Oryzias latipes: one gene and its partners. The protein of the gene in region 2 interacts with the protein of the main gene of each other region in a pairwise test. Links are inferred from orthologs where the notes say so. Each region holds a gene or a part of one and is shown on either strand. Other genes may lie near its edges.

Region 1 (5,063 bases), on a different chromosome or scaffold from region 2:
AAATAAAACAGCACAAAGGACATTCCTGTGGAGAAAGATTGGTCAAAGTTGAGAGGGAGCATAAATGAAAGCTGATGGTGTTAGTAGACCTTAGTAGGGTCAGGAAGCAGCTTTATCTCAAGGTTTAAAGTGACAGATGTTCATGTGATTTATGGAACTGAGGTTCTCTTTAAGCTGCAGGAATAATGCAAAGAAATATTCAAGCACTTTGCTGGTAGAAGAGTTAGGAACCACATCTTTCCTGACTCAGCAGTCACCATTGACTCATCTTTGGTCTCCCCCTCCCCACAGGTGAGGGTGTGGGTGTCCGCCTGGACAGCTCATTATCTTTTCAATCCCGTATCAATACTGTTGCTTGCTCTGCCCATTTTCACTTCATTGATCGTCTTCGCCCCACCTCACCGTCCACTCTGGTCACGTAATCCTCTCCTCTTTGGTTACCCTCAAAAAAACCTCTATACGCTCCGACCGGCCCAGAACTCTGCATCATCTGCAGAACCCCATCCTTTGGTCACATCGCCCCACATGCAGTCAGGCCTTTTCCTCACCAGCTGCTCCAGCAGCTGCACTGGCTTCCCAGAACCTCCAGCAACAAATTAAAACTCCTGCTCCATAACCTGACTCCTCCTCCTCTTTGGGACCTTCTCCTTATCAATACTCCTTCTGCTCCTCTTCTTACGTCCAGCTCTCCGCTCCCCCGGCCCGGCTCATTACCATGGGGAGTTGAACCTTCAGCTGCTACGCTACCAAACTCTGGAATTCTCCTGCTCCAGACCACCGTAACATAGACTCTCTCCCAAACTGAAAATCCCAAGTCAAATCTGTTCAAATCAGGTTTGCTCTCCAATTTCCCTTTCTGTCATCTGCTCTTTACTGTATATTTGCTCTGGTACAGTGTCCTTGAGCTTCTTGAAAGGGAATGCAGGTTTTCCAGATGTTCTTGCCCATCTCACAGTTGATTACCTGGATCAGGTGTGTCCAGCCAATTAGAACAAGGCAGAGAAAGGTATGTTGGGAAACCAGCAGGGACGTAGCCCTGGATGTCCTCGCATAAGGGGGAAACTGTTCGCGTTTTTGAAACATCTGGTGGGAAAAAGCCCACTACACTCCCATATCATGATGAGAATTCATCAAAGCTGTGCTTTAAAGTTACACATCTTCCAAATAGTCTAGTGAAAAGCCCAAATGTTTCGTGTCATCTGCACCCCCATGATGTCATCACTTTCTGGTTCTCTGGACCTGGGAATCTGAGTGGTGGACAGACCTGGGATGTCTTGGTTTACTGTCAACACATCCCAGGTCTGGAGGGGATTCTAGAGAGGGTTCAGACTCCTGGTACAGCTAAAAAGCATGGGGGTGGAAACATCATGCTATGTGGCTGTTTTTCAGCCAGGACGACTGATCCGTGTAAAGGAAAGAATGAATGGGGCCATTAATCGTCAGATTTTAAGTGAAAACCTTCTTCCATCAGCATTGACCTTGAAGATAAAACATGACTGGGTCAGCAGGACAACCAGCCCAAACACACGTTGCCCGGGTAACAAAGGAGTGGCAACATGTCCTGGAGGTCCTGGAGTGGCCTAGCCAGTCTCCAGATCTCAACCCCATAGAAAATCTTTGGAGGGAGCTGAAAGTCTGTGTTTCTCTGCGACAGCCCCAAAACATCACTGCTCTAGAGGAGATCTGCATGGAGGAATGGACCAAAATACCAGCAACAGTTTGTGAAAACCTTGAGAAGACTCAAAGAAAATGTTGCCAACAAAGGGTTATAACAAAGTATAGAGTTGAACTTTTTTATTTATCAAATACTTATTTTCCGCCATGATTTACAAATAAATGCTTTAAAAATCAGAAAATATAATTTTCTGATTTTTTTTCTCATTTTGTCTCAGTTGAGGTTTACCTATAATGAAAATTACAGGCCTCTCATCTTTCTAAGTGGGAGATCTTACACAATTGGTGGCTGACTGAATACTTTTTTGCCTCACTGTAAGTTCATTCCAGGACATAAGCCATCAATCACAATTCTTTTCATGGTAAAAATTGATTTTATTCATTAATTTTCTTTATTTAGCCAATCAGTGTTAAATTGGAGTCATTTTAATTTTTTTAAGAAGTTTGCAAACAGGAGATGTCTTTTCCTGTCATGACAAACAGGTTTTGTGCCTCTATTGCTGCAGTAAATTCAAGAAGAAATGTGCAGAGTCAAAAAAAATGTTGATTACAAATTTTTAGAGCATCGTCTGAGAATCAAGCATTTATTTTTGGATTATGAACATTTGGAGAGTACAGTAGTGATAAGATGTATTAAGATGAAAAAGATGATAGTAGGGAGAGAGCTCAACAGCAAAGGTTTTGTAGCGTGTTGTGTAATCCAACTGTATCAAGGACACTTCCTACATTTAGGGTTCGTTCCACTTAATGACAGAGATAGACTGATGTAGAGAGCAGGTATCAACTGAAGTAACACACAGCACATCATTTGGACCCAAGAGTTGAAGTTCCTGCTGAGAAGTGTGAGATTGAATAAATCATTGTTCCCTTCTATTGCAAACCCAGCATTTCCCACAAAATGAAGGAAATGAAGCTGAAATGTTCAGTAGCTAGCACTGATGTGATGGTGCCAAAGACCTGAAACCTGAAAAAAAGAGAAGCAAACTCCCACTTACGGCTGTCATAGCAGATGTTACCAAGAGCTCGGCCAGTCTGCAGCAGCACCTCCTGGTCGGTGGAGTTCAGGAGCTGAACCAGAGGAGGGATGAGGCCTGCATCCACACAGGAACTCCGCATGAACTCTGCAGACAAAACAGGAGCTTAGTTATAGCCCAGCATGCACAGGTACGGCCCCCGCAGGCACAGGTACGGCCCCAGCAGGCACAGGTACGGCCCCAGCAGGCACAGGTACGGCCCCTGCAGGCACAGGTACGGCCCCTGCAGGCACAGGTACGGCCCCAGCAGGCACATGTGCGGCCCCCGCAGGCACAGGTACGGCCCCCGCAGGCACAGGTACAGCGCCACAGGTATGGGTTTAGCCCCTATAAACACAGGTACGGGGCTGCTTCATCTCAAAGACGCCTATTGCTGCATTGTATTTAAGTGTGTTTAAGAATCTAAGAATCTTGTTGTTGTTGCATGTGTTTAATGTTAAAGCCCCGTTAGCATGTAGTTGTGTGACATTTATTCTCTGCAGTTGACCCATCCTCTGGGGGAGCGGCGAGCAGCAGACACAGACGCGCTCGGGAACCTATTGGTTAGCGTTAACCATAACCCTTCTCTGGTTCCATGCGAGCCAGAAAAAAACTTTAGCACCGGCTGCGTGCATTTAGAAAATTACATGCGAATAGACACTTTCTAAAAAGGAAAGTAAGGAACTCCTCCTGGTCTGGGGAGGGGGCTGTCAGGTTTCCTGCTCTAGATGTTTTTCCTGCTTCAAACTCGCTCATTGTCACTCCCCCAACAGTCATTTACCCCACCGTGAATGATTGGTTCGTCAGTTCCGCACACAACACTGAAAAGTGTCATTCAAAAAAAACTGGCGGGATGCACAAACATTGAATTTTAATATTAAGGTGGGGGCAGCAAAGTATTGTCTTGGGGGGTCGCGAGTTTGAGACATCATCCATACAGTGTTACATGGTTTCTCAAACAGAGAAAATGTGTAGATCATTAATATTGTAAAGGCTCTAAAATGACTCATTTTACAAATATTACACATGCGTGCACGAGTCTGTCGGAAATAACACGGAAAAACAAAAAAGGGCCAACGAAGCAACATTAGCTTAAAATTATTATGCTTTTATTATTCTACATACAAAGGGGCTCATGGAAGGGTAAAAAAAACTCATGCAGGGGTAAAAGAACCCCATGGAAGGGTAAGAGACCCTCATGCAGGGTAATTCTGATTTGTAAAACAAACAAAACACATCAAAACGTGCAGATGTGTTTCACATCATTAGAACATCAAACTGCAGATATTCGTTCTTTCACAGACGGAGCCCCAGGCAGGCGGATGGTTCCTCTTTCAGTGTTTTTCAGGTCGGTCCAGCTTTTATGACATTTCCTGATAATTGAGGCCAAACTAGAAGAAACTCTGCAGGTCAAACCATGTTTATAATGAATCGTTCAACTGTCTGAAATGGAAGGAGCCGTCTGTGGCGAAGTGGCTGACTCTTCCGGAAGCAGTGACAGATAAATGCCGGCGGCCCGGGGGCAGGTTGGCCAAGCTGCCTCCCACCCATCATTAACTGCAGCCCTGCCAGCTCAGAACCCGCTCATTATCAGAACCTTTTCCTGCTCCAGGCTGCATTCACATGAAGGCTTTTTCCGGACCTTACGCAGAGACGAAGAGGAAAACGGAGCTGAGCACGCCTGCAGTTAGTTCAGCTCTACCAAGCTCTCCCAAAAGCCCTGAGGAGAAGGCCTGACTGCGTACAACCACGGGGTTCTAACACCCACCTTTGATTCTCATCAAAACATTTAAAAATGAAGCATTTAAACCAGAAAGAGACTCATAGCAGCCCTGAGAGCACAGGAGCTTTGGAAGTGGACCGTACCATTTTTAGCCAGTTCTGCTATTATGTTGGCCACTTTGGGGGTGCATGAAGACTGGGGGTTGAGCAGGTTGGGAAAAAGAGGAAGGATGCCCATCTCCTGGATCTTCATGCTGGCTTCAGTGTCTGCAGGAGAAAAAAGGCCAGTTAAGAAGATCGCACCAGAACCGGAACTCTGCTTTCAGACCAGAACTTTCCAAACCCGCCGGCTCACATTTCATGCAGAATCAATAATTATACTTTTGTTTTATCTGGTGGTTGTTGACGTGGATCTGTCTGAGAATGACCCAAAGAATTACATCAACACACTTTGGGTTTCTTTTTCCCACCTAAACCTTTTTCAGGTCATGCGGTTCTGCACGTGTTCTGCCAATCGTTTGGACCTGTGGCACTGCGGCCATTTTTTCCTTTAGATCACATGTTCTGAAGTGGCTGCTCTCAACGTCAAAAACTGGCCCAAAGATTTCTGGCTGACCCGAAAGAGCGTTCTGTACTCACTGCTGCTGGCGAGCG
Region 2 (5,828 bases):
TTCAGCTTCTCCGTAGTTTCCTTGTCATCTCTTAGATCCAACTTGGTGCCCACCAGGATAATGGGAGTGTTGGGACAGTGGTGTCTCACCTCTGGGTACCACTACACAAAAACACAAAATCATTTTAACAAAAAGATATTTCCGATTGCATAACTGCAACAATTTAAGGATAAAAAGTTTTTTACCCCCCCTTAATAAGCTTAAAAAGCAGCACTCCTGTTTTGTGAAAGATAAACAAAAACTACGCCACTCGGGAAAGTGCAGTTTCCTGTGCGTTTCTATCTCTCCAAAACATAAGAGCCATGATGCTCGCGGCTATGCTGGTGTCTTTAATTGGGATCCAACTTTACTGTTAATGCTGGATGTTTTAAATATTTAACAAAAAAGTGTAAGAAACACAAAAAGTAAGAAGATTGGGGAATAGTAAAAATGTAGCCTTAGATATGAATAAAATGTATGTGTTTTGGGCCAGTTTTCTACATAAAAAGCCAATCAATAGTACACATCTCTTGAAATTGTTCTTTAAATACACTTTTTTTTTTTTTACAAAAAAATAAAAATAAACTGTATATGAAAAAACACAGGTCTGTATTTTAATTACCAACATTAAAAAAGTCAACGTGTTCACATCTGTATTATTAGTGTTTTTTGCTCAGGCACCACTAACCTTGGCACGGACGTTTTCAAATGAGGCCGGACTCACAAGAGAGAAGCAGATGAGGAACACATCCTGTAAGACAAAGACAAAAAAGGTTCAGAGTCCATGAAATTCATTTCCTGTTGAGCAAAAAATAAATAAAAATAAATAACCTATCGCTAAGGTGGTCTGTTTAACTTTCTTTAAAACCCTCTTCTACATTTGAATACCACAAATGCTCCCAATTAATTATTTATAAAAGTTATCAACTAAATAACACCTTGTCTGACTATTTTTGTCATTGTACCGTCTGTGGGTAAGAAAGTGGGCGGAGTCTGTCGTAGTCTTCTTGTCCAGCTGTATCCCAAAGGCCCAGGTTCACCGGCTTCCCATCCACCATAACATTGGCAGAGTAGTTATCAAACCTGTGAGAATCAAGCATTCATAAAAACTCAGTTATGTCATTCAAGCCTTGCTACATATTTCTGAATTTCTATGATCATTAGATAAATCAAACAGGTTTTTTGGGGGTCAAAAATCAAAGCCTTGTTCATCAGCAGTACATGTTTTCAGCTTGTTCTTGAATCAGAATAAAAGCAGAATGTACATTTATAAATAATCAGAATGAACCAAAGTGTTTTGAGTGACAAATTCCCAAAAAGCCACAGATCCCACAACTAAGAAAATAAACTAGCTGGTTGCACTTCTGGTAATTTTACATAACAAATGCTTCTCTGAACCCAAACAGCTGCCTGTTAAAAAAGAAAGTGACTTCTTATGTACAAGGAAACTAATATTCCCCCATAAGACCAGTTGAAGAAATGAAACAAAGACACAGTTAAGCAACAACTGTCCAGAAGAAGAATGACAGACAGCTTAGCCATTATGAATAAATAAACACTCACACTGTGGGGATGTACTCTCCTGGAAAGGCATTGGTGGTGTAGCTGATGAGTAGACATGTCTTACCCACAGCACTGAATAAGAGAAATGTTATGTTCAGAATTCAGGAAAATAAAACATATACAAGCTGTCATTAAAGTCAGGCTTAAGTTGTTCGATTATTTTACATTTACAAAGCTAAAAACAGTCCAAGCATTTTATTTAATAACATCAAAGTTACTTGAAATAATTACAACCATTAAAAATATAGTTTCAAGTTAAATGTGGACACTACGCAAAGTTTGGTTTTTAACAAACTGAAAGGAGGAAGTCTGAGAGTCACATTATCATCCGTAGGATAAAAGCAGGATCAAAATAATCCAATATCAAAAATCAATAATTGCCAGTTAATCATTTATTATCATCTCGTAGGTAATGTCAGTTTTATTGAAGCACTCCTGATAGAATGAGTGCACTGATTTCAGGAAATAAGGTTTTTTTTTCTCTTCCAGGCTAGTTGATGAGTAAGCAGATATTTTAAACTTTTGAAACTTTAAAGAGAACTGGTGCCTTAGAGTTTCTTCAAGTCGGAACGGAAAACAAAACAAAAGTCGGAGAGGTCGAGGGACGACTCCGCTGCGGTGGGACCAGCCGCACCCTCGACAAGACGTTACAAGTGTGTTTACCTCTAGCATATTACACATCAGTCAGACTTTCAATATTAGCTCATTGACAATCCTGTCTTTAAAATATTGCAAACTAAACCTACTAATTTAACTATTGTGTAACACAAAAACACGCCCGTGTCAATACAACAGAAGAAGAAACAAATTTCAACTCTTCGAAAAAGTACATATAATTTTTGCCCATTTTGTTCAAAAATAACTTCAAAACAAATCTAAGATCAATCTAACTCTATTCACTGATTTTGGCGTAAATAAATAAAAAAATCTGGAACATTGGATCCAGAACGGTAATATCAGGGGAAAAACAAATGCAATACAAAATGTTGTACATTTCGAAAAAAAAAGAAAAGAACTTGAAAGTCCAATATTTAACCGATAACTTGGCTAACTTTACAACTCCAAAAATAAGACGCAACATTTATGTCGAATGACAACTTTTCGACATCACTGGCGGTTTCAGGGTTTGATACCAAAACTGTCGATTAAATGTTAAATATCACAGTGAGTTTAGTTAGGTTCAACTTACCCGTCTCCAACAACGACACACTTTATGGCCTGCATTGCGCCGCAGCTACAGGAATGCTAAGTTAGCCCAGAGCCAGTTAACGTTAGCTCGGATAGCTTGTCCTTTGTCCGCAACTCCTCTCAAGTGAAACTACCCAACAGTCTTTGCTAACAGTCGACCGCGCTAACTCAAAACTTTCTAAACGGAGAACGGCTTGTTAGAAAATAAAGTTGCGGCGACTCAATTCGGACTTTAGGTCAACTAAACTCAGAAATTCCCTGGCAACATTCCCATGCTTTCGTGAGCTGCTCTATGAGTTATGGAGCAAAACAGCGGCCACCACCCCTATAGCTAAAGAGAAAAAAAAATGAAGCCAGCTCTACAAGATAGGGCATCCGGCGCACGCCCACAGACACCTTAACCAAAGAAAAGATAGCCTCAAACTAGTAGTAAAAAAAAGGGTCAGCTACTCTGGTCTTAAATATAAAGCTTAAAGTTATATATAAATAACATTTGAAAACTAAAATATTACATTTTGGTTTAATGAAAACAAAATAAAAGAAATCGTCGAAGACGGAATATTTACGGTGTGACACCTAGGGTGGAACTGACGTCAGTTTTGACGCGTCTACGGTTCATTTACGATTACAATGGAATTTTTGGTGTGTTGTTTAATTTCCCTGAATTATGCCTTTCAGGCTGAAAAAGTTTTTTTGGAGATGGAAGGATAGCTTGCTCTCCCACCCCTACACCACGATAAATTCAATTATACCATACCAGCAAACATGCACTGTATTAAAAAATAAAGTAGTAAAAGAAAAAAAAAGTCAATGTGTGCCTATTCTAATACGACAAAGATATTTAGCTTCAAAAATGTAACACAATCAATGATTAGTTGGTCATTGTATTTCCAAAAAGTCTGTAGTACTTTGCTTCAGTTCAAGATTTTTTGTGTAGTGAACTTCTGGAAAACAAACCAATTTACCTGGTTTTGTAATGGTGCAAAAACAACATATATACATATTTAGTAACTCAAAAAACCTCTTCTATGTTTCTGTTTGTTTAGTTTTATGAGAACCATAGTAGTTGTGTCTAGGACGTGTTTTTTTTTTCCTTAGCCACCACCCAGATCTGGAAGTCCTTTCAGTCTTTACTCGGGGTTTTATTTAATCCTGGTTTTACTGCACTTCCGTGTGTCGCAGCGATGTCTGTCCTCGGTAGAAAACTAACAGGGTGGAGTAGATGCCAGTACAACGGCAGCAAAAGACGGAGCTCGTTGAGGGTGAAAGATAGAAGAATGGAGCTTCATCCAACACTTGCAGCCATTGTAGCGTCCCCTTGCCTGTTGCCTTTGTAAGCCAAGAACACAGCGCTCAGGGTTGGGCTTTTATGGCGAGTCTTTCGTATCTGGTGCTCCGGTTTTCGGGCTCCGCTGGTCGGACTTACGGACTATTCTCCAAAGGCTTGACGAGGACTTTGTTGATATTTTTTGATCTCGCATGGCGGCTGAGAATACGATTCCCCTACTTTTACTTGGTAGCCTCAATGGTGTTTAACGTCAGATTACAGGTAAATGTTTACACACTATTTTCAGACTGACGGTCACGGTGAGCTTGTCACCATGCCAACAACAGCTGTTGGGGGGCCTCGATAGGGAACCTTTGTTCTTATAGTCAGTTAATCCCAGGTTAAATTGATATATAATCTCTACTACGTGCTGTCCCATAAAACTGGGTTCATGAAAATCATCTGTTAATCGGAAAAATAATTTACTGACATTTGATCAATAGTGAAACAAGTTCATATTCACCCATATTTAGTGTTTGTATCTGATCTAAAATAAAAAACAGTAGTCTGTAATGTGTAATCAGTCAGGGGAAACAACAAAATAGATTTTTTCAATCTTAAATATGAAATATTAGCAATAATTGATACTTTTATACCACAGAAATGTAGTATATCAGCTTTTTTCCTTGTCCTTTGAATGTGCAAAATGGAAAATGTGACGTTTTTGTCTTTTTACAGGTCCATATAGAAATCCATTGAGTCTTTAATGCAAACCTTTGGACTTTAAGAAGTGAACGGTAAGACCTCCCATGCTCAAGATGGGCTGACAGTGATTTCTTACAATCAAACTTGGAACAGAAGTTTAAATTTGGAACAATGTCCAAACAGATAGAAGTTTAGGACTAACTATAGAAATGTTATTATTGATAGAGATGTATATATACAAAACACAACCAAACTATAAATTTGAATCCAGCAGGGATCCACTTGGATGTGTTGGGGTTTAATCATGCCAAATGTGGGTCAGATTTTCCCCTGCGTGTATGTTTCTATTAATATATTTGTTTATGTGTAGTTATATGAGTGTATATTGGTTGCATCAAATATTTCTTTTTTTAATCTTCCCCTACTTTTCCTTTTAAAGTATGCGTCCGAAATAAAATACCATCATTATCATCAAGCTGGTGTCTCAATGCAGTAAAGTGACGTGTCTTCTTCTCTCCTCATCAGTTCGCCTCACAGAGATGTGCTGCCTTTGCCGGTCAAAGGTGGTCATGATGTGCGGAAACGGAGAACCCGGTGAGAACTGACTCATGGATGTGGATTGGAAATAAGCCTCGTAGTTACTGATCCAGTTTAAACTGTGAAGACTGCCCTGTTCTCTCTCACTGACAGCGACGAAACAAGAAATTGAGAATGAAATCAGATGATTGTCTCTTGCTTGTACGCTCATTTATCCGACGTGTCTCAGGTCACAGCCAAAATCTGGATGCACTTTGCTTTCCTCTTAGAAAGGTTTATCTTCACAACAGGATATAAACAAGCCTGTTTGTGGCTCTGACACTTTACGTGAGGTTGAGATTACTTATACAAGCGGTACATGTTTTTGTTTTTTACAGATATTTGAAGGGAATTTGAGACGCTTAGACTGGAAGTCTTGCATGTACAGGATAAGCAGAAATGTTACACTGCTTTCTTCTCATTAACAAGTTCATCTTTTGTGATTCTGTGTCTCAGTACGACTGGAGAAATGAAATCATTATTACTTACACTGTTGCGTAACTGTTTGATTGGTTTACTGTCAGGAAATTTTAAAAGGTCTTGAGCACCG
Region 3 (4,499 bases), on a different chromosome or scaffold from region 2:
GTTGTTTTTAACTATTACGAAGATTGTAATACTTACTAAATTGAGAAACAGTAGGGCGAAGTACTAAGCGCACCGCGACGCAGCAATATAACCCACGAAATGAATCTTATAAACAATAATATGATCTAAGGACCACTAAGTGGTGTTTAATATTTTTGGCCCTTTTAGGAACAGCCAACAACAAAAAGCAAAATTATAAAGAGAAAGTTTTTTGGTTTTAAACCAAATTACCTCTAATTAAAACGCAACTTTGCGGACATGGAAGCTGCGTTTTCGTCTGCTTACACAATCAGAACACCTGCTGGTTCTTTCCAGCTCAGTCTGTATTTATTTTTTACCCTTCAAGCACTGAATTTCAGAATCCGCTTTGGTAATTTTCTGGTTCGGTGTGGATCATTAACGCCATCTGGCGGCGAAAAATCAAGCTGATCTCATGGTTAAAGTGTGGCCAAGGCTGATCAATCTCTAGATAGAAATCAAAAAGTTGAAAAACAGCCAGATATTGTCCATTTGTAGGAGCAGCATTTCGGTGTTTGGAGCAAATGTAACATAAATCCCCATGCAGCACGTGCAGATGGAGGAGAATCGCATTAGATTAAAGTCCCCATCAATCTTGGGGCCCCTCTTCATTCAGGCAGCAGCTCAGCCTAAAATGCTGCTTTCAGTGAGCTATTTTGTAAAACAAAAAACGGAGATATCAACATTTACTAAGCTGTTTTGAGACTACCTGGTACATTCAGAAAACACATCTGAACATTTTCAACCTAAATAATTTTACGTTTTTGTGCTTCTTTAAAAACAAGAGGGAAACATTTCACAATAGAATTTTTACATGGAAATTTTGTTGAGAAATTTTAAGATGGGTTTTAAAGCAACCAATTAGATTTATTACAGTTGTTTGACTTAATTGTAATTGTTGTAACTGAATATTTATAACGTAACAGTCTTAAGATTTGTATAGATGTGACTCTCCCTAATTTTGTTACAGGGTGGCTGGGGAAATTGGACTTTTGGAAGCAGGTGTGGGGAAGAATGTGCTTGTTCATTAAAGGCACATGATGAGAAGTTTCTCATCTTTAAGTTCTTGTCTAAAACTTAAAGAACAATTTAAGTAACTCTAAAATATTCAAAAAGAACAGTATTTCTTAGAAAAATCTGAGGGCAAAGTTTCCTGAGCACTAAAAGTAGGAAAAAATGATTGATTAAACTTGTTATTTCTAATGATGATAAACAAAAACAAGCTTAGAGTTGATAAAATTGCTGCCAAAATATTAATATGAAATAAAAAACTGCAAAAAGTTAAATATTTTTATAACTGTGCTGTAACTTTCTGTGAGACCAGGTGTGGGAATATCAATCAAATTAGGTTATACATATGTTTGATGTTTTACTATAAGACCCCTCCACTCATGTCTATTTTTCTAAATGCAAAATGAATGTGCAGAAATGGAATAAAACACTTGTAAATATTAGCAAATATAACGGTTCATGATGTTTCTAAGTCCTCTGAAATCAAAAGCCGATTAAATCAAATCAGTGCTTTAAATTAGTTTTAATAATCAAAGATAAAAACTTAAAACTTTTAAATCAGCCAAACTTGGCCAGGATACAAAGAACAATGGCTTATTGGGGGGACATTCAACAAAAAAAGAAGAGGATTTTAAATTTGCTTTCAATTTTGTACATCTAGAAATAAATGTCGTTGTGCACAGATGTTTGAACACAACAGAAAAAAAACTTTAAAGACCTTATTGCTGAAGTAAAAACACATTTAGATAGAAGGCATGCAGATGCAGGAGGACTGGCACCCTCAGGAAATCATTACATTTCAAAATATTTTTGTTTTTAGTCATATACTAATTTAAAAAATCAAATTAGAGGAGGGCTTTCAATAAAACCTAAATTTATCTAAAACGTAATCCTTATTGGCTATAATCTGTGAGTCCACTTTTTTGTTTTCTTCCAAAACCCTTTTTGAAAAGAGCCGGCCCACTATTTTTTTTCTTTATCCGTGTAGTTTGTACTATTTCATTCTTGATAATATGTTAAAAAAATAATAATAATAATGGTAAAAAATCATAACATTTTAATGTGAGTTTCATTTTTTTGTACAGAAAATATTAGGAGAAATTAGCTTCAAGCAATTTTTTGTAAAACTGTTAGGTTTATGAAAGCATTTGTTGGCAAAGATAGAGATTTTATTTTCACTGGAGGTGTGGCTCCTTGCAGAATACTACAGCTTGATATCTGAGCAAATGTTAAAGCTAAGAGACTCAGAACACTAAGAAAATATTCATCAGGAATCCTTTACATCAACATATGCTTTATTTTTCAAGCAGACTTCCAACCGATTATCATAACAGCGAGCCCTCCATCTCCAAGGCAAAGTTCCTCAAACGCTGAACATTTTTAGATGCCATACACTGGACTGCAGTCACTCTATTTGCCTGTGGCTTCTGCTGTCAAATATCATTGACCTCCTCTGAGGTTGGTAGAAGCAGCTGGTTGATGTTTCCAGTCTTTGCCCACTTTTTGGAATAGTCATTTTATTTTGAAGAGATAGTCCCTCTGATGTCCTGATACTCTCTGCTATGTCTTTAGAGAGGACGTTCACTGCCGACGTGTCATTCAGACTCTTGATAGATGAAAGGAGCTTTCCGTCGTCCCCTGATGAGGGGTAGTCCATGATGGGGAAAGGGGGACTGAGCAGAATGAGACTCTGAGGTCTCTGTCTGTTCCTGAAGGAAGGCCTTTGGTGTACATTCCCTTTGGTGGGTCTGGGACAATCTACAAACACTTCCAAATTGGGGTTGTGTCTCCTGGTAATGATGGGCAGTTCTGGAGTAGATGTGGTCTTCCCAGACTCAACCGGTTTGTCAAGATTTGGATGTTTTAGGTGTTTGGGCTCTTTGTTCTCTAGCTCCTCCTTCAGATCTGACATATTTGGAGCAGGAGCGGCATTGCTTGTCTCTACACTCATTTTTGGACATTCTCTTTCTTGTTTCTTTACTGGGTTAAGATGACTTTCTTGTCTGGTTTGAGGAGTTTGGGTGTACTGCACCTTTGGAGGGACGACTGGCACAGCTCTGGCCTGACACGTTTTGATCATGAAGGCTGTGCGCACTGACGACACACTGACTGGCGCAGAGTTTCGCCGAAGAGGCGCCTGACGATCATTTAGAAACAGATCCAGCTCTGAATGGACTTTGTTTCCACCGGACAGTAATCCTCTATGTGTGGCAGAAAACTCTGAGTCTCGATTTTGCTGGTTTGAGATATCTTTAATGCATCGATACCCCAAGTCCAGGTTCAGAGAACAGGGCCTGTGCTTGGACAGATAACTGTCCTCTCTTTTCTCTGTCAAGGCTGCATCACAAGATGATTGTCTGAGAAATTTCTGAGATGATACTGTATTCTTTGGCTTTATTGTGCTGCTCTTTATTGGTTGTTTTGCATTACATCTGCTCAGTTCCATTTGCACTGGTGCTGATGGCCAATGAGTCAGTTTAGTTTCTGTGTCAGTGCTGGAATGCTGGGAGCTTTGGTTGAATTTATCCAGTGAAAGAGATGAAATCTTTACAGTATCCAAGTCTGGAGTATCCGTGCTTGACCTGAAGGGTGATAGCTTGTCAAACAATTCCTCCACATCTGGAGAATGGAGAGGACTTGTGACCCACTGCTTGGTGGAGCAAAGATCTTCCCAGGACTCCACCAAGTCCAGCTCTTCCAGGTTTCTCCCAAATCCTTCTTCGTCATCGAGGTTTGGAAGCTCCAGGAAATTGGTTGTCTCCTGTGAACAAACCGAGATCCTCTGTCCACTTTCTATCATTTGAATCTCATTGATCTTTTCTGCATTGTTTGACTTTTCCGTTTTCTCCCGAGGAACCTCGTGCTTCAGACATTTTCTGGCTGTGCCTGGGAAGCGTGTGACCTGCGGAAAGTCCTTTAAAATCAAAGGTTTTAAAACATGACTCAACCGGGTTTCCTTTGAGGAAGCTTGAATCTGCAAAGAGGAGGTTCGTTGCTCTTTGGGCCCCTTTGATTCATGCGTTGGATCAGCGGGACAAACTTTTTGAGTGTTTCCAGCAGAGATCGCATCACCGTTTTTGTGAACGCACAACAAAAGGTCTGATTCTGAGGGCTGCTTCTTTTTGCCATCAGATCTAGGGGCCTTCCCACAATCACCCAGAGAGGTGTTTGACAGCTGCTCTGTGCACAGCAAGGACAGAGATGGAGAGCTGCGGCTTCGTTTTGACTGGACGTCTCTTGATAACTTGGTGTTTCCAGACGTGGTCACTGTGGAGAAAGCTGGTTTGAAAGCTTCATCCAGCAGGTCAATTTCAGGCTCAGTTATCTTCAGTTCTTGGTGGAGGTCAGACCGCAGATTTTTTATTATCGAGGATCTTTCATCCTGAAAGATTAGAGAAAGTAAATAAATATCAAAGGAAAAAAAATATGATGAAAAAAGCAGTTAAATCCCATATCCTTACACTGGTGTG

What was found.
Region 1: the proteins of ras-related C3 botulinum toxin substrate 1 (region 2) and rap1gds1 interact in binary tests that used the Homo sapiens proteins (3 or more experiments, as listed by UniProt). The link is inferred for Oryzias latipes from reciprocal best matches to the Homo sapiens genes RAC1 and RAP1GDS1.
Region 3: the proteins of ras-related C3 botulinum toxin substrate 1 (region 2) and arhgap31 interact in a two-hybrid assay, tested with the Homo sapiens proteins (2 studies listed by BioGRID and IntAct, with this or other methods). The link is inferred for Oryzias latipes from reciprocal best matches to the Homo sapiens genes RAC1 and ARHGAP31.

The regions. Positions count from the first base shown.
Region 1 is NC_019876.2:29,298,823-29,303,885, forward strand, and holds part of rap1gds1 (rap1 GTPase-GDP dissociation stimulator 1), read right to left. Parts: coding exon 5,049-5,063; intron 4,677-5,048; coding exon 4,554-4,676; intron 2,796-4,553; coding exon 2,670-2,795; intron 1-2,669. UniProt on the Homo sapiens protein: Acts as a GEF (guanine nucleotide exchange factor) for the Rho family of small GTP-binding proteins (G proteins) that stimulates the dissociation of GDP to enable subsequent binding of GTP.
Region 2 is NC_019866.2:11,732,324-11,738,151, forward strand, and holds the start of ras-related C3 botulinum toxin substrate 1, read right to left. Parts: upstream 3,315-5,828; 5' UTR 2,767-3,314; coding exon 2,732-2,766; intron 1,615-2,731; coding exon 1,543-1,614; intron 1,063-1,542; coding exon 945-1,062; intron 731-944; coding exon 668-730; intron 102-667; coding exon 1-101. UniProt on the Homo sapiens protein: Plasma membrane-associated small GTPase which cycles between active GTP-bound and inactive GDP-bound states.
Region 3 is NC_019872.2:14,130,730-14,135,228, forward strand, and holds the end of arhgap31 (rho GTPase-activating protein 31), read right to left. Parts: intron 4,412-4,499; coding exon 2,435-4,411; 3' UTR 1,538-2,434; downstream 1-1,537. UniProt on the Homo sapiens protein: Functions as a GTPase-activating protein (GAP) for RAC1 and CDC42. Required for cell spreading, polarized lamellipodia formation and cell migration.